Drosophila melanogaster: one gene and its partners. The protein of the gene in region 1 interacts with the protein of each later gene in a pairwise test. Each region holds a gene or a part of one and is shown on either strand. Other genes may lie near its edges. The genes, in order: CG10051, CG4461 and CG2767.

What was found.
Region 2: the proteins of CG10051 (region 1) and CG4461 interact in a two-hybrid assay, tested with the Drosophila melanogaster proteins (one large-scale study listed by BioGRID).
Region 3: the proteins of CG10051 (region 1) and CG2767 interact in a two-hybrid assay, tested with the Drosophila melanogaster proteins (one large-scale study listed by BioGRID).

The regions. Positions count from the first base shown.
Region 1 is NT_033778.4:19,359,500-19,368,981, reverse strand, and holds CG10051 (uncharacterized protein), read right to left. Parts: upstream 5,342-9,482; 5' UTR 5,256-5,341; intron 4,677-5,255; coding exon 3,991-4,676; intron 3,927-3,990; coding exon 2,995-3,926; intron 2,935-2,994; coding exon 2,750-2,934; intron 2,692-2,749; coding exon 2,548-2,691; intron 2,486-2,547; coding exon 2,283-2,485; intron 2,220-2,282; coding exon 1,769-2,219; 3' UTR 1,688-1,768; downstream 1-1,687. Other genes in the region: CG9416 (uncharacterized protein), read left to right, coding at 1-27, 91-271, 335-660, 723-934, 992-1,274, 1,336-1,503; CG11961 (uncharacterized protein), read right to left, coding at 6,691-6,858, 6,920-7,012, 7,069-7,261, 7,324-7,426, 7,486-7,585, 7,643-7,971, 8,035-8,215, 8,270-8,653 and 2 more.
Region 2 is NT_037436.4:9,371,179-9,378,038, reverse strand, and holds CG4461 (uncharacterized protein), read right to left. Parts: upstream 2,610-6,860; 5' UTR 2,556-2,609; coding exon 1,953-2,555; 3' UTR 1,746-1,952; downstream 1-1,745. Other genes in the region: Hsp26 (heat shock protein 26), read left to right, coding at 851-1,477; Hsp22 (heat shock protein 22), read right to left, coding at 3,264-3,788; CG4456 (uncharacterized protein), read right to left, coding at 4,595-4,649, 4,718-4,877, 4,944-5,064; Hsp67Bc (heat shock gene 67Bc), read left to right, coding at 5,722-6,321.
Region 3 is NT_033777.3:8,003,635-8,011,646, forward strand, and holds CG2767 (uncharacterized protein), read right to left. Parts: upstream 4,477-8,012; 5' UTR 4,334-4,476; coding exon 4,262-4,333; intron 3,879-4,261; coding exon 3,698-3,878; intron 3,331-3,697; coding exon 3,203-3,330; intron 3,143-3,202; coding exon 2,583-3,142; intron 2,515-2,582; coding exon 2,466-2,514; 3' UTR 2,290-2,465; downstream 1-2,289. Other genes in the region: CG2698 (uncharacterized protein), read left to right, coding at 1-126, 354-544, 604-1,013, 1,080-1,229, 1,620-1,646, 2,123-2,282; CG11052 (uncharacterized protein), read right to left, coding at 4,749-4,866, 4,918-5,027, 5,142-5,158, 5,213-5,417; CG3223 (uncharacterized protein), read left to right, coding at 5,854-5,995, 6,069-6,485, 6,544-7,232; CG10435 (uncharacterized protein), read right to left, coding at 7,475-7,600, 7,661-8,012.

The DNA of each region.
Region 1 (9,482 bases):
GCTATTTACTTTAGTCGCACTAAAGAGGTGAGTTTGAGATATTGTTAATGTAACTTAATAAATATCATAATTTAACTAAATCCTTTTCAGCATGGTTTACCCCTGGGCTATGGCATTCAACTATTGATGCATTCGCATTGCCTGATCTTGACCATTATCACCGCCATAATGGTGAGCTATAGTATTCGTTCCGCCTTTGTCATAATGCTCTGCATCGGCTTCTACACTCTGTCCGTGCTGATCAATTTGGTAACTAAGGCACACAAAACAAGTAAGACCGATCCCCTTTATAATTAATTAATTAATTAATAAATAATTATTAATTATCTTTCAGATTTCCTGTGGCTCATACCGCACTGCATTTGCCAGGTGCTGCCATTCATGTTCTATACTTACTGCTGCTATGCCTTCTATGTGGTTTTTGTGCCCATGCAGGGACGCGAGTGTAATACAAATCCGGAGATTCTAATGGGTTTCTTTACGGCGCTAATGGTTCTACTATTTGCACCCTTTCTGGTGCCCTTGTTCTGTCTGTTCCGCAAGTCCAAGACAATTATCTCAATGTTTGGCATCTGCACGATAGTGTTTATCATATTTGCCGCAACACCGATTGCCTTTCCTTACGCCGAGAAGACGGCGCCCCAAAGATTCTTCGCTGTGGTATGTCCTTTATTTTTTTAGATTTTTACTTTATAGTTCCTAAGTATTTTATTCTCTTACAGCACACAGCAAGAACCTTCCACAATGGCGATCCAGCGAGCACAGTGAGTCATAAGGACTCGGGATACTTTGTCCTTCCGGTCGATCGACGTCCTCACACCGTGGATGATATTCTCTTTGAAAACACAAACTTTACAAAGTCAGAACGTATTGATTGTGACTCGGAGCTCATGTGCGGATTTCCCATTTACAGCTCACGCTGGTTAAATGCAGTGTAAGTTGTAAAAACATCAATCAACTTACCTTTACTCATCGTTTTATTTGTTTTCAGTGATAACAGCTATTTTGTTCCTGGTCCCGAGCCAAATAGGGAATATATTCCCACTCTGACTATTTTGGAAAAATCGAGTAATTCAGATACAAATATTAGGTTTGATCTTGAGATCTCAGGACCGGATCACACGAGCATATTCATTCTGCCCTTAAACGATAGCAAATTGGTGGATTGGTCCTTCATTAGGGATCCGCTGGATGGAAATGTAAAGCCACCATACTACGTGTACTGGTCATATGCATTAGATCCCAAACCCTTGCAGTTTTCACTGGAATTCGAGGTAATAATATTAATTAAATATTATACTTTAGAGGGGTAGTTAACTCACTACTTATTTCCAGCACGAAGATCCAAATTGGTCGGGAGGCACTTTCAAAATAGCCCTAATGGGTCATCGAATACACGATGACATGTATATTACGGAGGATTTCCGTGAGTTCCTGGCCACGTTTCCGCCGTGGGCGCATGTTAGCTCCTGGCTGGGATCCTACAATAGTTGGCAGCTTTAAGTGTAGACTCAAAGTTCCTTCACGAACTCAACTCAATCCCATTTTTGCCATGACACCTCAGCTACTCTTAATTCTGGTACTGTTGATGGAGTGTACCAATTTTACCTAATCCAACGAACAAAGTGTCGATAAGCATGGCACGTCCTAAATTGTATTAGTATTTACGATTAGAACACTGTAGTTACTACTTTGTAATTTTATTAAAATATACTATAAATTATTTATTAAGATACGCCAACTTTGGAGTCTATATTCTCATCGCCGCCTAAACAATCCAGCTCTCGAGGGCCGAGAACCAATCGGTGGTATATGTCCAATCGGGGAAGGTTGCGAGGAATTCCTTGTATTCCTCGGTGTAGTACTCTGGATGGTATTGGAAGTGCTCGGATACGACCAGCTTCATGTAGGGTCCGTCTGTGTTGCCCTCCTCGTGCTCGAGCTCCACCCAAAAGTTGAGCGGCTCCTCGGTTTGGGAGTATATGGCATAGATCAGATAGGGAGGTGTGTGCTTCTCCACCAAAGGTGTATGATCGAAGGACCAATCTGTCACCTTGACATTGTCAAGCGGATCTATGTACATCATAACGCGATCGCTGGCCCTCAGGTTGTACTCATATCGTACCTTGTTGCCATCCAGAGATTGTTTAGACAGCTGGGTAAGGTTTATGTTCATTGGAATCACAGGTGGCGAGCTGTAGATCCAACGAGCAGAGTCTCTGTGATGCAAGCAGAAAAAAGTTTAGATACCAACTAAGGTCAGGTTACGGTCTCTAACATACTTCCATTCTATCCAGCGACCACTATACAATGGAAGTCCACAGTACGGTTCTGCGGCACAGGTGGCTGCCGTCCAGCTTTCCGGCTCGGCGTTCTTGAAAGTTGTGTCATCCAATTCATGGAGTCGTGTATCCACAGGTTGAATATAATAACCCGAGTCCTGCTTACTTGTACCATCCAAATTGTGGAATGTTCGTTGTGTGTGCTGAAGGATAAATTAAGGGATAAGCTATACAAATATATGGTTAAATATATTTAAGAACCTACCAGCACATAGTAACGCTGAGGAGCCAATTGCTTCACAAATGGAAAACCGGCGGATGTGCAGGCCAAGATGATGAAAATAATTGTGATCACACCAAACGATGAGAATATAATCTTGGGCTTTCGGAACTTGTGCATAATGGGAATCTGCAAGCATATGCTTAGAAAATCTTGAAACAAAAATTGATTGATTGTATCAACTTACAACAAAACCAGCATAGTTTATTGCGGTTGCAATGATAAAGACAGATATCATTATATCGGGACTACTTTCGGGTCCATCGCGACCCTCCATGGGAACAAAGGTGACAAGGGTCGCATAGCAGATGTATGTGTAAAAGAAGAAGGGCAGCACTTGGAACAACAGGTGAACTGTGACGAAGTAGCTCTCTAAATTGAAAGAATAAATGCTTTAAATATCATACAAATATTCTCAAGATAAATACTCACTCTTCAGGGTGAGTTTCAGTACTATTTGCACCAGAACGGAAATCGCGTAGAAGAAGATGCCCACCATGGGGAAGTAGCTGGAGCGAATGCCCATGATGGTCATGATGATACAGAGCAGCGCAAGAAGGATGCACTGGGCGTGCATGAAGCAGGCGATGGTCTGATCCAACTTCATGTTCGTTTTCCTCTTCGTGAATCCGATATAAGTGGCCGGAAGTATGCCAAAGGCGAAGAACAAGGTGCAGAAGTACAGCCCAAAGGCCATCCATTTTCCGTAGTACCAGGATTCGGCTAGACCCACACCTTGCATAAAAACGGCCACCAAGAGAGTTAAGCCGCAGGCCACGAACAGAGTTCCCGCTTGAACCAGGAAGATGATGGCGAATCTCAAAACCACCGCTTTCGGAGCATCTGCACCATTGTCCAATGTCATGATGTACACCGAGGTGCCAATGCAAATAAAGGCCGCCACAGAAACCACCACATTGATGGCTATGCTCACCGATTCCGTATAGGTCATCATGAACCAGCCTAAGAAATCATAGTACACGGTGTGTCCCTTCTCATACGCAGTGGTGTTATCCAATTCTGGAGCATTGGCCAGAGCCCAAATCAGGGGCAATACGTTCTCGCCGGTCGACTGGTATGTACCATATTCGACGTTTTTAAAGTTATCAAACTCGGTGTGGTACACATATCCATTCATCACACTGGCCATATCCAGGCCAGGAACTCCTCCGTAATCGCGGAAGATGCGGAAGTCGGTGTCCGAGGGAATAAAGTTATGCTGGAACAGCTCTTCGGCTAAGGTCTGAGCATATGGATGCGGCACACTTGCTTGATAATATTTGGCCAACCACGGGTGATTGGGTCCCGTTTGGAAGAGCACCTCACGGCCACCAGCTCCGGTCGAATCCAGGTTTACCAAGGCTCTGACATTGGTGGAAAGGAAATGAATGATTTCGATTTTTAACTTTTGCACGGTACACCACTTACTTGCAATTCTTGGACCATTTGTGTTGTGTGATAAATCCGTGGGAACCCAGCATACAAGCCTCCTCGGCTCCATTAAATAGGAAAACCACGGGATGGGTTAGCGTTCTTTCGGAGCGTGAGATTACGCGCAGGGTTTCCAGCATAACAACCACCATGACGCCATCATCTCCAGCAGCCGGCGTTTGGACCTCCGAATCGTAGTGGGAGTTGACCAGCAGATAGTTCTCGTTGTCTGAACTCTTCTGCGATATTTTCACTACCACATTAGAGAGATTTGTGTAGGAAATGGTCATGCCCCACAAATGGAAGGCACCCGAAGAGTACTGCGTGTCCACTTCAATGTCATAGAGATCCAATCGGGCTTCGTCCTTGATCTTCTGGATCTCTCGCAGCAGGAAATTGATCGTATGCACTTCGTTGTTGATGGAGCCACTCATCTTATTGCCGATCGCCGAGTACTCGGCCAACTGGCGCATCGCCCGCTCGCCGATAAACTTATCCGGATGCAGTGCCTCCTCACTCTGGTACAGCATCTTTGGGTAGCTGTAAAAACTGGGCAGTACGGCGGCATAGAACAGAGCAAAGGCGGCAGCCGCGTAAATGGGTGCTCCGAACCAAGGCCATTTCTTATCCCTGGACTTGCCGCCATCCTTCTCCTCTGTAATGTCAACGGTTGAGAAAGACATCTGGAATATGAAATCCGAAAGTTATAGGTCGTAAGAAATAGAGGTTCCACACAAAAAACTTTTTAAGGGAAATCTATGCAAACCAAATTGTAAGAAAACGTTGCATACTTTTTGGCCCCAAATAAAAACGATATTCGCTTTTACGATATAGGGATCGGGAATAATTTACAATTATCTCATGCTATATGAGTGGTTGCCAAATCGAAGTCTCCATCGATTGGAAGCCATAAAAGTTTTGAAATTATCATAAATTGCTCCAATTGGAGAGTGTAGAAAGGTCGTAAAGAAATTAGTACCCTACAAAGCAATTAGGTTTATGGTCTCCAAAATTTAAAATACCAAAAAACAGCAAACGATAACCAGACCGGGTCCTATTTTATGGCCGATATAAACTTTCTTATCGCCTATGGATACTCGTTTGAGAGCGCAGGAAACTAGGCTCTTTTGTTCGGCATATTATATCACTTCGTAACGAATCCATTGATTTTTGCAAGCCTATCACATTTTCAAAAGCAATTCTTAGATTTTAAAGGAACACAATCACTTTGGTGAAATATGGCAAGGCATATAGGCACTAACCTTCAGATCACACGCGACTCGTACCGGAATCACCAACTATGAAATACAACCGTACCAGGGCCCAGCCGTTGGGCAACTAAGAAGCTCCAGGCTGGTTCCCAAGAATTAAGTAGGGCCCAGCTCCGGTGCGTTAGATTTCTTATCGCGTCCATGGCAGCGATAATAATTAAATATTATGATTATAATCGTCGATTTCGGCGCATAAAACGATTACATCCAGCGATAGGCGATACCAGAAGCATTTTCTCTTTATAACTTTTTTATGGAACCGTTGTTAACGCGATTAGGACTCACGTTCGGCGGAGATCTTTCGGTGGGGTCCAAAATCTAAAAAAATCTACATAAAACGTACATAAAATAATTTAGATTTGCTTGCTCTCTTTAATTTGGGGAAGTACGGACCGTGTTATCGAATCACATAAATTAACAACGTGTAAGTTAGATAAGAACACAAATTAAATAGAATTATACATTTAATAGTAGTTCAACACATTTTCTTGTACAATTTAGGTAACATTAATAACTAAGTAATAATTAAAGACAATGCAACAAGTGGCATTAAAATTCATGAATTAAATGACTTGGTGGTAAACCACCCCACAGACCCAAAATAAATTTAAACCATTTTTTTGGTGCTGTATATTAGATTTTTGGCTCAGATAAGAATACCTGTCTGGCACTGGTTGTTTCTTATTGCCTTAGGTTTTTTTTTTATAGCGGGACTAAATACTAATAAATATGTCTAAGCTGGACGTACTATAGGACAGCTCATGATTTACTACTGTGAACATTACAGGCTAAACGAAAATTTTGGTCACACGTTTATTAAATTTGTGTTTACCTCAATGATAATCATTCGGAAATGTTCAACTATTCATGCTGATAAGCATTCGGACATATTAAATTATCAAATCCTAATCTGGCAATCTAAAATCAGTCTGCATCACACTTTCCGTGAATGGACATTATGAAAAATACTCTATTTTTTTGGGGGCGATGTGCGATTTCGCCATTTATATTTTTGCGTGGGACACAAGTTGGCTAAACTCTGGACCATAAATTCTAAATCTATGGCCGATTATTTCCCGACGAGGCCATAAAATTCGAGTTAATACCAATTTTGGACATTCATTTTACGGACACCGAAAGTACATACACTCTTCTTGGTAGAACAGTCCTCATTTCTACATTCATATCATGTAGAAAATACATTCTACGTTTAGGAATTATGTAACTTTCAATTGGCGATATACAATCGCAACACTTTGATATCGGCCGCATAGCTTAGGGGATTAGTTATTATTAATTATTGATAAATGAACAGCCCAATATAACTGACGCTTATCAATGATTATGGTTTTTCATATCTCAAGAACAAAGTTCTTACGATATTTATTTTACGAAGGTACAAAAATGTATACATTAGATAGCTTCTCTAGAAGATCCGGCTCTCGAATGAAGCTGGCCAGGGTGTGGCATCCACATAATGGGGGAAACTGTCGAGGAACTTCTTAAAGTCAGGCGTTATTAGTTCCTTGTGATGGTTCCAATGGCCTCCGAGCCCAAGTTCCAGAGTAGAAGAGTTCCAATTTCCGTTGGGTTTCTGGTCGATGTGGAAAATATATGTATAGACAAATTACTTTTGCGAGTTTTCCATAACCTACCTCTAGTTCTAGCCAGAATTTAAGTGGATCTCCATTGACACCCCACGAGAAGTAGATGAAGTAAGGTGGCTCAAAGCTCAGACGTAAGGGTGCCTGTAGTTGTTGAGATATTAACATTGAATTCAGACTTATGTGACTTTAATAATTACCTGATGGAAGGACCAGTCCATCATCTTTGCTCCGTTCAAGGGCTGTATAAAGAGGGCCATGTGATTGGGTCCACTTAGCTGCATTTCATAGCGAATTTTGGTGGGCGACACTGTATTCTTGGAGAGCAATAAAACGGTTGGCACATTCTCGCCAAGAACAGGTTCCGATGCGGGTATCCATAAACTGTTCTTTCTATAAGGACTCAAATGTATTAGTTTACTAATTCATACTAACTTTTTGAGTTGGAAACTAACCTGGTCTTGTGCCAACGCTGATTATATAGGGGCAATCCGCAATTAATTTCCTTATCGCAATCGGATCCAATTCTTTGGGCCAGTGTCATGTTGATAACAGCATCTTAAAAGGCCAAAAAAAATTCCATGAATTAACCTTTCAATATAATTAGTCCACCTTACTTTTCACGGTGTAAGTGCGTCTGTCCTGGGGCATAATGAAGTAACCAGATTCCTGACGGCGCACTTTGTTTTGAGCGTCGTGGAAGGTACGCTTGGTGTGCTAAAAAAAGGAAATCCTTTTTACTTATCAATACAATATAACTTTGTAGTTTCTTACCAGGACAGCGAAACGCTGGACATTCGTTTCTGGGCGATAGGGGAATCCAATTGGTGTCATTGCAATAATGAAGCACAATAACGTGATGCCCATCAGGCCGCAGATGATGGTCTTCGATTTGTTGAACAACTGCAGAACAGGGATAATGAAACCGCAGCAGAGGAAGCCCACAGCGACACTGAAAACAGCCACCGCCAAATCCGGATTAAGGTTCTCTCCAAAACGACCAAACATTGGAATGAACGTGGTGAAGAATCCGTGCGAGAAATATGCAAAGAATACAAATGGTGGCACAGTGCAAACAATGTGCGGAATGACCCATGCGACATCTATTGGGAATAAAAAGACATATTAAAAATCAAACTAAGCATACTCTTATAAATACAACTCACCTTTGGTGTGCAGTTTGGTGGCAATATTAATGATCAAGCCCACTGTATAGAACAAGCAACTGAGCATCAAAACAAAAACAGAGCGAATTCCACAGATGGTGAAGATCAGGGTGAGAACAGATAAAAGTAGGCAGTGGCAGTGCAGCAAAAGCTGAACCCGCTGACCAATGGGAAGCTTATCCTGAAAAAAGATTTAGCTTTAGTCAACCAATAAATCATACCAAACTATACATACACGCTTGGTCCAGTGGAAGTACAAGGCAGGCACTATGGCCAAACCGAAGAAGAAAGTGGTGAAGTAGAGACCCAGGATGAGCCAGGAGTTCGAGAACCACGACAGAGGCAAATGCACCGCATCCATGAACAGACCGAGCAAAACTGGCAGGATGGCTCCCACAACAACAGATAGAATCTGTACGAGGAGTGTGTGCCCCACCTTCTTGAGGATCTTTTCGAGCTTTATGCCCGAGTTGACCGACATCAGCTTAAAAGCGTAGCCACAAATCCCGATGGATACCAAGGAGACGATGACGTTCAAGATAACGCCTTCGGTTTCGGTGTAGAAAACCAGAAACCAACCCATAACATCGAAATAGATGGTGTGACCTTTGGCGTATTTCTGAAAAAAGAAAAAGGCAATTAGTAATTTATCATTAAGATCTGTATCAGCCATGTTACCGCTGAATTCTCAATCTCCGGAGAGTTTGCAATCTGTCGGACCAAAGCAAGCAGATTATCGCCAGTATGCTGGAAACTACCCCTGGGAAAGATCTCTGCCTTGTCGTGTCGCGTGTGGTAGACAAATCCGTTGTAGGTGTAGGCCATATCCAAGCCGGGAACCGATCCATGGTCACGGAAAATGCGGAAGTCCGTGTCAGAGGGAATGAAATTGTGCTGGAACAGCTCCTCGCCCATTGTAGAAGCATACGGGTGCTTGATGGCACGTCGGTAGTTCTTCATTAGCCAGGGATGATTGGGTCCCGATTGGAAGAGGATCTCTCGACCGCCATTTCCGCAGGAATCGAGATTGATAAGGGCTCTGTAAAGGATAAATGAAAGTATAAGATAAATTCGACAAAATTTAAAGCACTCATTTGACCTACTTGCAATATTTGGCCCACTTGTGCTGGGTGATGAAGGCATGCGAGGCCTGAAGGGGATTTTCCTCGGCACCATTGAACAGGAATACCACAGGGTTCTTTAGTGGCTTATCGGACTTGGCCAGCACACGGAGTACCTCCATCATAGTGGCCACCATGGAACCATCATCACCAGCACCAGGTCCCGCCGGCACGGAATCATAGTGACTGTTTACCAGAAGATAAGTAGTGCTGTTCGTGTTCTTGGGACTGATCTTAACGACAATATTCTGAATGCTCTGGTACATATTGACCATGGACCAGTGAACATAGCTACCGGATGCCACCTGAACATCCACTTCAATATCG
Region 2 (6,860 bases), on another chromosome or scaffold:
GCGTGCGTTTTATTCCATACGTGTTTCTTGTGTTTTCTTTTCTTGCATTTCACACAAAAAAAAAGAAGCGAGAAAGCTGACGGGAAAAGCACTCAATTACTAATAGTGGGAGATTGCTGGCGTTATATGTATGTATGATTTTCTAAAAAACATATGTGACAACAACTACAAGTATTCCAGTAAAACTTAAAGACAGAAACACGAAATAATGTACTTAATAAAGAGGAAAACCAGAATAAAAAAAACTGACGTTTTGTTTTGTTTGCCGTTAGCCGGCTGTTTCTTTTGCGCTCTTTCTAGAAAATTGCAACAACTCTCTAGAAACTTCGGCTCTCTCACTCATACAGGCGCACTAGCTCTGCTTTTGCGCGTACGACAACAACTACATTTAAAATTTCTCGAAACTCATGGCATTTATTGGGAAAGGTTAGTTAGTTTTATTTTTTGTTTTTAGAGCAGCATTCAATTTAGACTTTTATAAAAGAAATTTCTAATTTGATCCCTCGTTTATCAAACGATACAAAGCTATATTCATAATTTTTTCTCTCTGTGCACGTTCTCTCTCTTCTCTTCTCTCTCTCTACTCTTTCCTTTTTCTGTCACTTTCCGGACTCTTCTAGAAAAGCTCCAGCGGGTATAAAAGCAGCGTCGCTTGACGAACAGAGCACAGATCGAATTCAAAAATCGAGCAGTGAACAACTCAAAGCAACTTTGCGCAAAAGCAAAACTTCAAACGAGAAAAAAAAGGATTAAAAACCTTTGCTTACAAGTCAAACAAGTTCATTCAACTTAACCAAAGAAAAAATATTTCAATCTCGCAAAAGGAACATAACCTAAAGGAAACGTAAAAATGTCGCTATCTACTCTGCTTTCGCTTGTGGATGAACTCCAGGAGCCCCGCAGCCCCATCTACGAGCTTGGACTGGGATTGCATCCGCATTCCCGCTACGTGCTGCCCCTTGGCACTCAGCAGCGCCGTTCCATCAACGGATGCCCTTGCGCATCGCCGATATGCCCATCGTCGCCCGCCGGCCAGGTTTTGGCTTTGCGGCGCGAGATGGCCAACCGCAACGACATTCACTGGCCGGCAACCGCCCATGTGGGCAAGGATGGATTCCAGGTGTGCATGGACGTCGCCCAGTTCAAGCCCAGTGAGCTCAACGTGAAGGTGGTGGACGACTCCATCTTGGTCGAGGGCAAGCATGAGGAACGCCAGGACGACCATGGTCACATCATGCGCCACTTTGTGCGCCGCTACAAGGTTCCCGATGGCTACAAGGCGGAGCAAGTGGTCTCGCAGCTGTCGTCGGATGGCGTGCTCACCGTCAGTATTCCCAAGCCGCAGGCCGTCGAGGACAAGTCCAAGGAGCGCATCATTCAAATTCAGCAAGTGGGACCCGCTCACCTCAACGTTAAGGCAAATGAAAGCGAGGTGAAGGGCAAGGAGAACGGAGCACCCAACGGCAAGGACAAGTAAAGGAGCCATCATCATCCAACATCATCCATCATCATTCCCCTACTTAATTGTTCCTAATTTATTGCATTGTATTTGTAATGAGCTAAAGACTAGAATACTCATATTAATTTAATAAATCCTTTTGTTCACCTGGTGTGGAAAATTAAAATTGTTGTGACTTTTGTATATGAAAGTTGGTTTTTGAAAGAGGCAAATATTTGGAAATATCGATTTGAAGATTTGAATTGGGCGCGACGAGGTGAAGACCCATTCGTAAACACCAGTGTTTCTACCAAATATTTATTGCGCATTTATTATATCAACTACGGGTACAATTTGTATTTTATTTATGTTTGAATCCAATTTAAATGTTCGGCTGCAATTGCTTGGTGTCCGAAAATAGTTCACCTTGAGTTAGGCGCATTCGATGGTTGGGATTTGGGTTTGGTAAAAACACATTCACTGTTTGCCTTCCTGATTTTTGACACATGGTCCACTATTTCCAGGGCAGGGCCAGCTTTCCGGTTTCATGAACGCGGACCAATCTCTCTCCGGGCGTGTAGTACTTGGCTGGCGGCGGTGGTGGAGCCTTGATGGTGAGGATGCCATCGCTGGATATGTCCGAGATTACCTCATTGGCATTGTATCCGCGGGGCAGAAGGTACTTCCTCACAAAGTGCCGCTCCACCAGGCCATTGGAACCCTCGTCGCGACGATTGTGATTTCCCTGGACGATGACATAGTCGTCATTGGTTTTGACCACAATGTCGTGGGGATGAAATTGTCGCACATCGATGTCAATCCGAAATCCCTTCTCATCCACATGGACACGCTCACCGGAATAGTAGTTGTCCCACCTCATTGGATGCGCCCACTCATACGGCGTCGATTGGATCAACTGGTTGCGCACTCGACGCGACACCAGCTCATCCAGAGGTCGGAGTAGGTCACTTCTGCTGGTGTGAGGCGATGGCCACCAGAGACGCGAATCGTCCCACAGATACGGATATAGCTGGAAATCATACGGCGGATGGTAGAGCGGACGGAGTCGATCAAATTCGCGCGACAAATCGCGATATGTGGTAGGCACCAGAGACATTTCTCGCCGGGATTAGGGCAGCGATTCGCTTATGTACGAGTCCGAAAATCTTATAAAATTTGTCGCCGCCGCCGTCAGTTCTTTTATAGATGGCCGACTGGCCTCGCCGGATGCGGATTGCGGATGGCGGATGATGGCGGAGACGATAGATGAGTCATCCGGACGAGGCGCATCGGATGGGATCGAAACGAATCGGATCGGATCGGCCAAGTGCAGCGGTGAAGGCGAGGCCAACGAGGTGCACACGACAATATAAACGGCCAGTTGGACCCGCGTCAAGTGGCTACGTCACTAGAATCATCGAAGGAAGCGGAAAAAGATGCTACATGACCAAGGTGTCAGACGAATGCAAACAAAATGGAAAGTATTTTTGGGGCTTTTAAATTGTATCTCCATCTAAGGCAATCATTAGATCTTCGAATGGATCCATTTTCATGACTTGACAGATACATATAAATTATATATAATAATCTATAATACTATCCATATCAAATGTGTTCCCAGTGAAAGAAATATTTTGATCATATAGTCTTTTCGAATATTTATTTTCTTCTACATAAAAATATTGGGCTTGCGGGCTACCGAATCACAATTGTTTTAAAATTAACTTGTTAATTTAACAAGAACTTAAATTTGATAGGTTTTGGAATATCTAAACATAGGAGTTCACTAGCATTTTATCGGTTTTAGTATAATCTTAACTTATTTCTACTGACTGGCGGCTTTGTCATTTGGCTCCTCGGCGGACTTCTTTGCCGGCTCGCCAGTCTGCTCGATGGTCACCTCACGCTCCTTGAGTGTCTCCTGCACGCCTGGAGGATTGGGCACACTGATGGTCAGGACGCCGTCGCTGCTCAGCGTTGAGGTCACCTTGTCCGCCTCGTATCCTTCCGGCAGGACGAAGCGGCGGAGGAAGTGCCTGGAGCTATAGCCACCTTGTTCGGCCTCCTGCTGCTCTGATTTTCCCTCCACCAGGACAACGCTCTCGTCCAGCACCTTGACCTTTAGCTCGCTGTAGTCCTTGACGTCCAGGGTGAGTTTGTAGCCATCCTTGTTGACGGTGGCCGGCGGAGCGAACTCCTGCTCCTGCCAGCGGGCAATCTGCTGCCAGTTCCTCGGTAGCGCCACACTCCAAACGGGCGGCTCGTGGAAGAAGGCGTGAAAGGGCGAGGAGAGGCGTGGCATCCGTGCCATCTCCTCGGCCATGCGCCAAAACATCGGTAAGGAACGCATTGTAGTTAATAAGGTAACTTGGTTTTTCCAACAAAAGCTTCTTATGCAAATTCGAATAATTTGATGAAATTCCGTCCAATTGTTGTCTTTGAAATACTTCTTGGCTTTTTTTTAAATTTTTCCTCTATGTTTCGAAGATAATCTTGTTGTCTGAAGTTTCAATCCTATGAAATTTCTATTTAGCTGGCGAAATTTTAATTTAGTTGACTTTCTTCGAGTTGTTAGCAGTTGGTTTGGTTTTTTTGAACTGAGAGCGCAGTGTCCAACCGGTGGCTATTTATACTCTTGGCAGAGAGGAAATCCATATAATCTAGAAAATACCGGCACTCTCTCGAATTTTCTTCGCCCTTTGCTGATGCAATTTTCCACTTTGCCTGAAATCGGGCAATGGCATTTAGTTAGGGGTTGTTCACTGTTCTTTAGCGAACTCCGTGGAAGTTTCTGGGGCTCTCTGGGTGTCCAAATATTACTTTATTTACCTTTTATTTTAGCATTTAGCGAAGTTCTCTCTCGCTGTTGCGCCTTGGGGAAGGTCAGTTTCCATACGCAGAGAGACAGATTGAGAGAGCTCCATTAGAGAGTGGGAGAGAGAAAGTTTTGTGGGAGTGCACAGCTTTCTGAGTGCGAGTGTATACGTGTGTGTATTGATAAGCTTGCCATGGGTGTAGTCAAGAACTTGAGATATATGAAAAATACAGCTTAATATTAACAAATAATTAAAGTTTTCTGTTTTTTTTAGCTATTAATAATTAATTAATTAATTAATATTAATCTTCATTTATTCAGAAATATAGCGACGTTTATCGTCAAAGTCCCTCCTTTTGAGCCCATTCATTCCAGGAGCCTTTGTAGATCACCACACTAAAATGAGCATACATATATGTATCCGATATAAACTATTGCAACTATAATACAATTTTAAAACTCACTTGCTGTATCCCTGACTTTTGGCAATTTTCTCTGCTTCCAAGACTCGATTTCCCGACCGGCAGGTGAATATGATTGGCGACTGCTTCTCCGGCTTCGATCTTCCGTACTTGTTTTTAAAAGCAGATCCATCCAGATTTAGAGCCTTGTCCAGTTCATCCACTAAGTAAATAAATAGTAATAAAACACATAGTAATAAAGCAAATACTAGGGAAAGTAGTTTATTACAGGGTATATTGATGCTGGCTGGAATGAAGCCCGTCTGCTGGAGCTCTTCCTTCCGTCGAACGTCGATAAGATACACATCCGGATGGTTGGGCACATCCTTAACCTGTTCGTACGTGGCCATTGTAGTTATGGGGCGGAGCACGAATTTCAACCGGTTCGCCAGCTGAATAACAACTGACTTGCCAGCTGGGCGCAGATGATCCATTTATGAGGTTCAAGATTAAAGATTCGGGTATGTACATATGTATGTGCGTACTTGCTTATCGCATTTTGATTATCGTGGTGTCGTCTTGTTTGTCCAGCTGACACTGGAGATTGCGCCTCTCATCTGTATCCGATTTCACTTTGAATTTGAAATTAAAATCTTATGGTATGATCTCCAATACAGAGCTTGCTATCTGCACTCATTTTATACATACATACATACCTTATGGCGGATCACATATAACAGTTTACAGTCTACGAAAGCTTGGCCCCCAGAAGGTTCCCAGTTGTCTCCCTAGAATCAACGAAACAACGAGTTGCTGCTCCAGAAAAGCTCTGTGGCAATGGGCAAAGCTCTTCCGTCTCTATAAAAGGGCGCAGACAAACCGTTAAACTCCACATTCGAGTCGGAAAAGTCAAGGTGAATTGTGCGCCAAACTGCAGCTGAGATTGTGGATTCCACCACCCGCTGGCAAATCAACCCCTTGGATACTTTTTGAAAGGAAAACAGGTCGTCGGTTCAACGAACCTCCTTCCGCCAGATACACAAAGAAGTTAAGCAAAGAAAAGTAAAATGCCAGATATTCCCTTTGTCTTGAATTTGGACTCCCCGGACTCCATGTACTACGGCCACGATATGTTCCCGAATCGCATGTACAGGCGATTGCATTCGCGGCAGCATCATGATCTTGATTTGCACACCCTGGGTCTGATTGCCCGGATGGGTGCACATGCCCATCACCTGGTGGCCAATAAAAGGAACGGAGAGCTGGCTGCATTGAGCCGCGGTGGAGCCTCAAATAAGCAGGGCAATTTCGAGGTCCATCTGGATGTGGGACTCTTTCAGCCAGGTGAACTGACCGTCAAACTGGTCAACGAGTGCATTGTGGTCGAGGGAAAACACGAGGAGCGCGAGGACGATCATGGACATGTATCCCGGCATTTTGTTCGCCGCTATCCGCTGCCCAAGGAGTTCGATTCGGATGCCATTGTTTCCACTTTGTCGGAGGATGGAGTTCTCAATATCACGGTTCCACCATTAGTTTCCAAGGAGGAGCTCAAGGAGCGCATCATACCCATTAAGCATGTGGGTCCATCGGATCTCTTCCAGAATGGAAACGGTCATAAGGAGGCCGGTCCGGCAGCTTCTGCTTCAGAGCCAGAAGCCAAGTGAAGAGCCCCCTCCTAAAGATTGCAGCCTAAGCAGCCAAGTGATTTCCCAAGACTCTCGTTTATCGTTGCACCAAAAAAAAAGTCAAGAAAATATCGCACAAATCGTATTATATTTATTAATTTATTATTAGCTACATTTTAAACAGTCCAATCAAATTTTAAGACTAATCGAAATCCAGTATTAATAAAGGAATATGAATGTCTCAGTAATCAAAAGACTTTTACTAATATTTAAGAGCTTAATTCATATCAAAAAGCACGAAATCCAATTTTGGGTACAATATTAACTTTCCTTTGTTCGATTAGACAGGTATTAAAAGCTGTGCATATTAAAAATAGGTCCCCGGATGTCAATCCTACTTAAAAAAGCTTTGGTTAGCCTTTTCCCAGGTGCGATTGAGTGAACTTTTGAACTTTGAAATGAAAGCCCGCCATAAGTGTAATTATCGATAGCTTTTAGTCATCTTTCCAAAACTATCTATCGAAGTAACAGTTTTTAACAAGTGGTAAGTCAACGATAAATTTAATAAAAGAAACTAA
Region 3 (8,012 bases), on another chromosome or scaffold:
TCCTCGAAGTGTGGGACCGGCTCATCCAGTATTGGATCGATTTCAATAAGGCCGGTTCATCGTACGGGCCGCGGGTACCAACGGATGCCCTGAAAAGCACATTTGGCGAAATCGTCGACAATCCAGGTAAGCATAAGTTCCACTCCCTATGGCTTCTTTCAATTTTCTTTCCTCCCGTTTTATTAATACATTTTTTGAGTTCTTTTTCGGGGTTTCCGCATGGGTGTCCGGGCTTTCGTTAAGTACTTGCTCCCATCATCCATCCCGTAACACTCGTTTGCGTCTATGAAATAACTCATACTGTGTGCATCTGCTAACCGATGGCCGTTTATTTAACCAAGGACATTTTAAAGAGCTAGTTTTAGTGGCAAAACAGGGCATTATCGGCTGGGCGCAGAGCAATACGCAGACGATCCTCGAGGTTGCAGAGTCGTTGTGGCACATCATCCGGACCAACATGTCCATGATAATGGGCGTGACCGGGGAGATTCTATCCCTTGTGCTTTCGGGTGGACAAGCGTGCATTGAGTTTATTCTAGATATGGTAAGTGTATATAAATAGGCTTTTAATCAATACTAATTACTTAATCACACTTTCTTTAGATTGTATTCTTTACGGCTCTGTTCTACCTGCTCTCGAGCAGTCAGGAGAAGTACGCGCCCCTGCAGATCACAAAATACCTGGGCTATTCCAGCTCGGGTATCAAAATCGCCGATGCCCTGGAAAACTCCATTACCGTAGTCCTAGTCTCAATGTTTAGGTGCTCCACCTTTACGGGTCTGTTCACCTGGTTAGTCCATACGGTTTTCGGGGCCCGGATTGTGTTCCTGCCGTCCGCCTTGGCAGCTATGTTGGCTGCTGCTCCTTTCCTAGGCAGTTACTGGTGTGCGGTGCCAGCCTTTCTAGAGCTTTGGCTGGCCCAGGACCGCTTCTATGCAGGACTTATATTGTTCCTGCTTCAGTTTTTCGTGCCATCATCTTTTGAAACTGCTATATATGCGGACCTCAAAGGGTAAGTACACTTTTTTGGTGGGATAAATGGAATTTAATATCTCATCATTTTGCTAACATTTGTCAGTGGACATCCCTACCTCAACGGCCTGGCCATAGCAGGCGGAATGTATTGGATCGGTTGGCAAGGAGCTATTTTCGGACCCCTTATGCTTTGCTTCTTCATCGGCCTTTTTGAGGTGGCCACGCTGGCCATGCGCAGTCATCAAGAGCCCAGGTAATTAGACTTTCCCAAGCCAAATTCGATGAATTTGTTTAATTTGCATGCAAAGTATGAACCACATCAGACTTGTGCGGCAGGGATTAAAGTGAGTTATTTGCTGGCATGCTTATTTAGATTTAAAATCTTTTATACCATTGCAGAGGATTTTAGTAAGAAGTCTACAATGCAGGGATTCACTAGCCATGTCCGTCTGTCCGTCAAGGAAAAATTTCCAAAAGTTTTCTTTCAATGCAGAAACGGTCCAGAAAAGAATATTTTATTATACCGCCGTCAAGAGTAAGAGTATATAAATACTGCAAGGGTATATAAGCTCCGGCTTGCCGAAGCTACTTACTTCTTCCTTGTTATATCTTAATTTAATGAAAATCCTTTGCTGAATTTCAGGAACAGTACGGACGAGGAGCGGACCACGTGAGTTGGCATGGACCAGAAACTACGAATTTCCTTTTAATACTCGAACTGCGAACTAACATAAGCTGTGTGGCCAAATACCTGACAATCAAAATGAGATTGGCCCGAATATCATAACCTAGACATAGGCTGGAGCTTCCTTTAACTATTGTTGTTCGTTTCTCAGTTGCTAATCTTACCGCTTTGCGAACATTGATTTTTATGATATTATTCAATATTCCGTCTATGCAGCAAGCGCTCCTTAATATCTATTCTATCGATCTTAGTGTTCTTACATACAAAATGTACCTCGAATTATTTGTAGTCGCGAAACATTTCCAAAGCCTTCAAGTACCGATATCGTGCTCGCTACTAATTGCTTAATGTAAAATTGTGATGTGTTTAAACTTAGATACAAAATGTCTTGCAAATATATTTCTGTACTAACTAACTACCGCTGAATGCAAGCTTTTTTGAATTTGAAAGTGGTTTTCCAGCTCGATTCCTCGAAGGGTCAACGAAACTGTTAACGACAGTATAATAAAAACGAACGATAACACGGATGGAAAGTCTGTCATAGAGGGAAAACCTGTTGAGCTGAAAATCGTAACGAAAACCAAGACATTTCAACTGTTGAATACCAAAGAAAACCAGTAAAGAATTTGTATATAAATATCATAACTACATTTTATCTGTGTATAATGACCGAATTGCGAGTAATTACTTTTTTTATAACTGTTACAAAATAAATGGTTGCTTTTCTATACTTTCGACACAAAGTAATGTTTTGGAAAAGAATTTACTGCGTTCATTTGAATTCTTTTTATATAGCTATGCCGTTTAGTTCGTGTACTGATTCTTGAAGGTAAACTCAGGATGCCTTTCCACACTGTAAACAAAATAAAAATAAATAAATAAATAAAATAGAGGGATTAAAGCTAAGTCATATTTTTATACCCATGGAAGAATGCAAAGTCACAGATTCGAATATTCTGGTCCAGGCTAGACAACTTGGCCACCTCCTCGGCCGTCAGTTCGAAATCGAAGACGTCCAGATTCTGTTTAAGGCGAGCGGGATTCGTGCTCTTGGGAATGGCGGATACACCAGTGTCGATAATCCAGCGGAGGAGGACCTGCGCTGGCGTCTTGCCATGGCTTGCGGCAATCTCCTTCACCTCAGGGATGTCCATCAGGTCCGGCAGATCTCTCACGATGCCCGCTCCAGCATTAAACTTGGCGATTCCCTTGGATCCCAACGGGGAGTAGGCAGTTACGGTAATGTTTTCGGACTTGCAGAAGTCGACCAGATCTCGCTGCTGCAAATAAACGTGGTGCTCAATCTGGTTGTTGGCCGGCCGGATCTTGCAGTTCTTCAACAGACGGGCCACCTGATCCTTGCTGAAGTTGGATACCCCAATGGACTTGGTGAGACCCTTCTCCACCAGGGCCTCCATAGCAACCCAGATGGCTGCGTGGTTCGTGGTAACGTCGACCTCCATTAGGCCCTCCTTGTCGAGCTGAAAGTTAATGCTCGAGATGTGTATAGGAGTTGGGATTAGATTCCGTAGCACAACTACCTTAAAGCTTCCGTCCTCGTTGATATTAATTGTGAAGGGAGTGTGCACCAAATATAAGTCCACATAGTCCAGTTGCAGATCTTCCAGTGACTTTTTGATGGTTGGCTCAACTTCGTGGGGGCGGTTGGCTAAAACAAGGATTATATTATTATTATATTATTTTTGAAATAACTGGACTCGTAATAGTGAAAACTCTCACAGCTATATTTATAGTCATTCACATCAGGTTCATTTATCATATCAAAGAGTCATGTGGTGATAATAAAAATGTTTTTAAATTGAAATTATGAACACTGAAGGAGTCTATGTTGGTGTTTTAAAATCACGTTCCTAGTCTTATTTTATCAACTAGATATCAAAAAGAATATTGGTAGCTGGTGTAAAATGCTTTGGTTTCTATGGATCTTAAGATTCTGTGGGCATAGAACATAGGAACTATTTATAAATGTTTATATGGCATTTTGAAATACCATCCAACTACTAAATGCTACTTACAAACGGGTGGCACCTTGGTCACAATGAACAGCTCCTCCCGCTTGACCTTGCCGGCGTCCAGCCAACGCTTTAGGACTCTTCCGATGGCCTTCTCATTGCCGTAGACTGGCGCCGTATCTATGTGGCGATACCCAGCTTCCAAAGCCGCATCGATGGCGGTTTCGATTTCCTCATCAGATGCCTGCATTGTGGTGATGAAAGTGCGGTTTAGTGGTATTGTATATATATTGATTATAGGATTTGCATAATCTACACTACCCGAAAATCTTCAAACTCGATTTACAACGATATTTATTCTCCCGTGACCAGAGAAAGTCCAGTCCACCAGTGGATATGAATGGTGGTTTATTGTTTGTTTTTGAAAACCGGTCTAAAGTCCCCCAGCACCAACCAAATTGTTGATTGCATCGGAATCGGAATTTCAAGAGATTTAAATGACGTGTCAGCGATTTGTTGAGGTCATTAATAAGTTGAAACAATAGTATTAAGATTCGAATATCTACTATCCATTTAACCACTTACAAGCAATCTATGAAATTACAGAATTAACGTGATTATAAATACCTGCCAGGTGCCGATGCCAATCACGGGCATCTTCTCTCCATTGTTGAACGTTAAGAACTTGGTGTTGACCATTTTGTATTGATTTTTGATAACTTGTACACTAAAACAGACTTGAGTAACAGATTAAATGGAAAAGATGCGGCACAACCTGTTGCTTCGAGGATTGAATTGAAATTAAACAAGAAGCTACGACCCAGTCACCGGCCCACTTATCTCACCCAATCCAATGAGATTCTGCCTTTTGCAAAGCGCGGTCTTACTAGTCGATATTTGTTTAACAAAACAATCGAATTTAAAAATAAATGTACTTACCATAAATGGTTTAAGGCTCGTTTACTATAAAATATCGGACTAATTTATTTGCATTTTAGTTAGATTTAATATTATAACAATAGAAAAATTTGTAGCTCATATCCAAATACTGTATAAGTGTGTGTAAGAAAAATTCAATTCCGTTTCTAAATGATTTTAAGCTTTTAGAGAACAACTAATCCACCACTATGGAGAAGTTAGTGAACGTGAATTCTGAAAGTTCTGTAGTCTCACTGAAAATGCATTTGTCAATTCGACTGGTGGGGCTGCCGGTGTGCTTTAGCCAGAGGCGCCTGTAAAAGAACGGCTTGATAATTAAACGTTGAATGGAAAAAATCACTCACATGGACTCAAAGGAATGTCGGTGTGCTTGAATTTCGCCCTTCACCGTATTCTCGTTGGTGTTTTTGCACCAACCCCGGACTCCCAGCTTTTGAGCTCTTCGCAAGGTGTACTAAAACATGGTAATTGGATTACAGTAAAGAGATTTCACATATACAATAAGAGGTAGCAGAAAATCCATAGCTCAAAGGGGTTTTGAAGATCCCATTTCCCAGCAAGCTCTTACCATTCGAAATGAAACGCCTGTTGGTGCCAGATAACTAATTATTGCGACTATACGATTTGTGAATACCCTACCTTGCACAATGCCGAACACTTCGAATTGGCAGCTGAAGACCGGCTCATCGCTTCTGTCCGATGTTACTCTTTTTTGGAACTCTGTGTTCGAAATTCGGTTGGGCTCCTCGCTGCCTTTTTTGGATGGTGTACCTTTATCTGGTGTCGAAGATGGAAGAGTTACCCTCCTACGTTCACCCTCAGTCTGCGTTTCTTGGGAGGTCATTTTACAACTCGTATATTTAACATATTTGGAGCGGAAACTGTCAAAAATCGATAGGTCGATAGGGATTGAGGGTTTTATTTTGGGTCACCTTGAATTTCAATGGCTTTAAAAACAGTACATTTTAAATGAAATGACTTGAACAAGGTAAAACAAAAACAATAGCAAAAGTTACGTTTTCTTATTGTCAACAAATGAACACTTATGTTGAAAATTCGACAGCAATCCTAGAGCGGTATTTTTAGATCTAGCTTTTTTAGCCTTTTTTAAATCGTCGGTCGACCCGATCAGTCTGGTTCGGGCTATCGGGGCATGTAAGGGTCACCCTGTGTTCAAGGCGGTTCGTTGGAACCAGTTCCGAACTGTCTTTGAACAAAACAAAATCACCCAGACAAAATAGTGAATTACAAATATTACGCAGATTCTACATCAACGCACTATGCATACCGTGTACGCGCTTCTGAAGAACAAGCTGAGCGATGTGCATCCCCTACACAACATCGATCTGACGCGGGATGTGGCCTACCTAAAGGCGGTGGTGACCAAAGAGATGCACTTGCAATTCGACGCCAGCGAGTTGGGTGAGTGACCCTCGGGATTCAAATCGCTGTCCATTGTCTCTATTGTGTCAAGTCATTTGCTGCGCACTTGCAGAGATCATCCACCACGGACGCGTGCTGGAGGACGCAGACACCCTCAACCGAACGCTGCAGCCCAACGCCGTGATCCACTGCTTTCAGAAGATTAAACGTTACTCGCCGTATGTGCCGCCAGCCGCCGCCGAAATCAACACGAAGCATATTCAAGAGCTGTTTTCGTTGACCTCGCACCTGCAAATCAGCGTTACCTCGCGGTTCAACATTCTGCAGAAGATACTCGCTGAGTATCCGGAATTTAGGCGAAATCTGGGCGCCCAGGCCCTTATTCGCGACTCCGTACTGTTCAACATGCTGCACGAGCCGGAAGTGGTCCAAAATCTCGTTAAAGATTATCCCCTCATCTGCGAGGCCGCTCCATTCATAGTGGACACCATTCGCAAGGAGCTAGCCAGAAATAGCTCGGCCACGCAGTGTAACTAATGCCGTATCTATTCTTGATTTGTATATTTTACCCGTTTCTTCCTTTTTAGTGCAGGAGCAAGCTGCTTCGGAGTCTACTACTTCGTCAGAGGAGGAAAACTCTCTGGGTGCAGGCAGCAGCAGCAGTGGTGGAAGCAGCAGCACAGCCGTGGCAGCTGCCGCGGCCGCCAATCGGCGTGATGAGATGGCCAACATCCGTCAGATTAGCCGCCAGCAACTGGCTAACGCATTGGCTAACGTGACCCCGTTTAATTCACTGTCGAATATTGCGCAGAGAAACGCGGACGAGGCCGTGCAGGGTGATGAAAGACCTAGAACCACCTCGGCGCCATTAGCAGGCGTTGGAGGAGCAGCGGGAACAGGCGCAGGAAGCAGCAGTGGAGCCATCAGCAGCGGATCCATATCCTCAGAGTTGCTCCGCAACGAGCTGGCCCGCGCTTTTCAGTCCCTGTCGCAGGATCAACCGGCGCCTGTGGAGAACATGGAGGTGGAGTCCGGAGAAGGACCAGTACCAGAGCAAGCCGCCACAGCACCAGCCGATGATGTAGATGACGAGGACGATGGTGGAGACGACAGTGATGTGCTGCCACGCCGCTACCGTCGCCATCGGTTCACCGAACAACTGCGTACCATGGCCGCCATGGGCTTCATTAATCACACTCAGAACGTTAGTTATCTAGAACTTTCCGATGGGAATGTGGAACACGCTATTAATCTGCTTATGCTGAGCATGAATTAATAAGGATCGGAATTGACTAAAAAGCCAACATAATGTGCTTACTTTACGGACTTATATTTATTCTGCTGCTGAGGATTCTGAAGCATTAAACTCCCAACTTAAGCAAGGAATATCTCTTAATAACTTTTAATAATTAAATATACGTTTAGAGGAGTCATCTTTGTAAGCTAATTGGGGTGGGATTGCGGAGTTTGGGCATGGGGGTAAAAGCCGGCCGTACAAAAGGTTTCCACTAAATTATACTAGTTGATTAGATAGTCCAGCGCCTTGTCCTTATTATTGTTGAACTTGAGTAGCGCCGCCGAGATTTTCGATTCGTCAAAACCGAGGTCCAGAAGTTCTCCCAGTGGAATAAGGTGTTCGATAATCTGAAAAGACGTCCCAGATCGGAATAATGCATTTTGCAAAAGTTTTCGAAACTGACTTACCTTCTTATCGTCGATACCGCATAGACTAACCACCTTTGCCACCCGTTCCAGAGGGAAACCCATAGTACTGATACGTTGGGCCAACTTCTGTGCCGGACCAGCCAGCTCCCTAAAGGAGTTTCTGTCCACTGCCAACTCCACCGTTGGCTGCTGCTCCGCGTTGTGACTGTGCAGGCGGGTACGACGCTTCTCCGCCTGCTGCAGCTCCGTCTTCAGCTCCCGCAGGATGTCAGGCACACTCCTTGACTTCGTGGCTACCTCGTCCTCCGACTGGCTGAGCGCATGCACGGAGGAAGGCGCTGGAGGAGCCTTCAAAAGGTTTTGAGTCCCGAATCCATTGACTTGGTAGTTG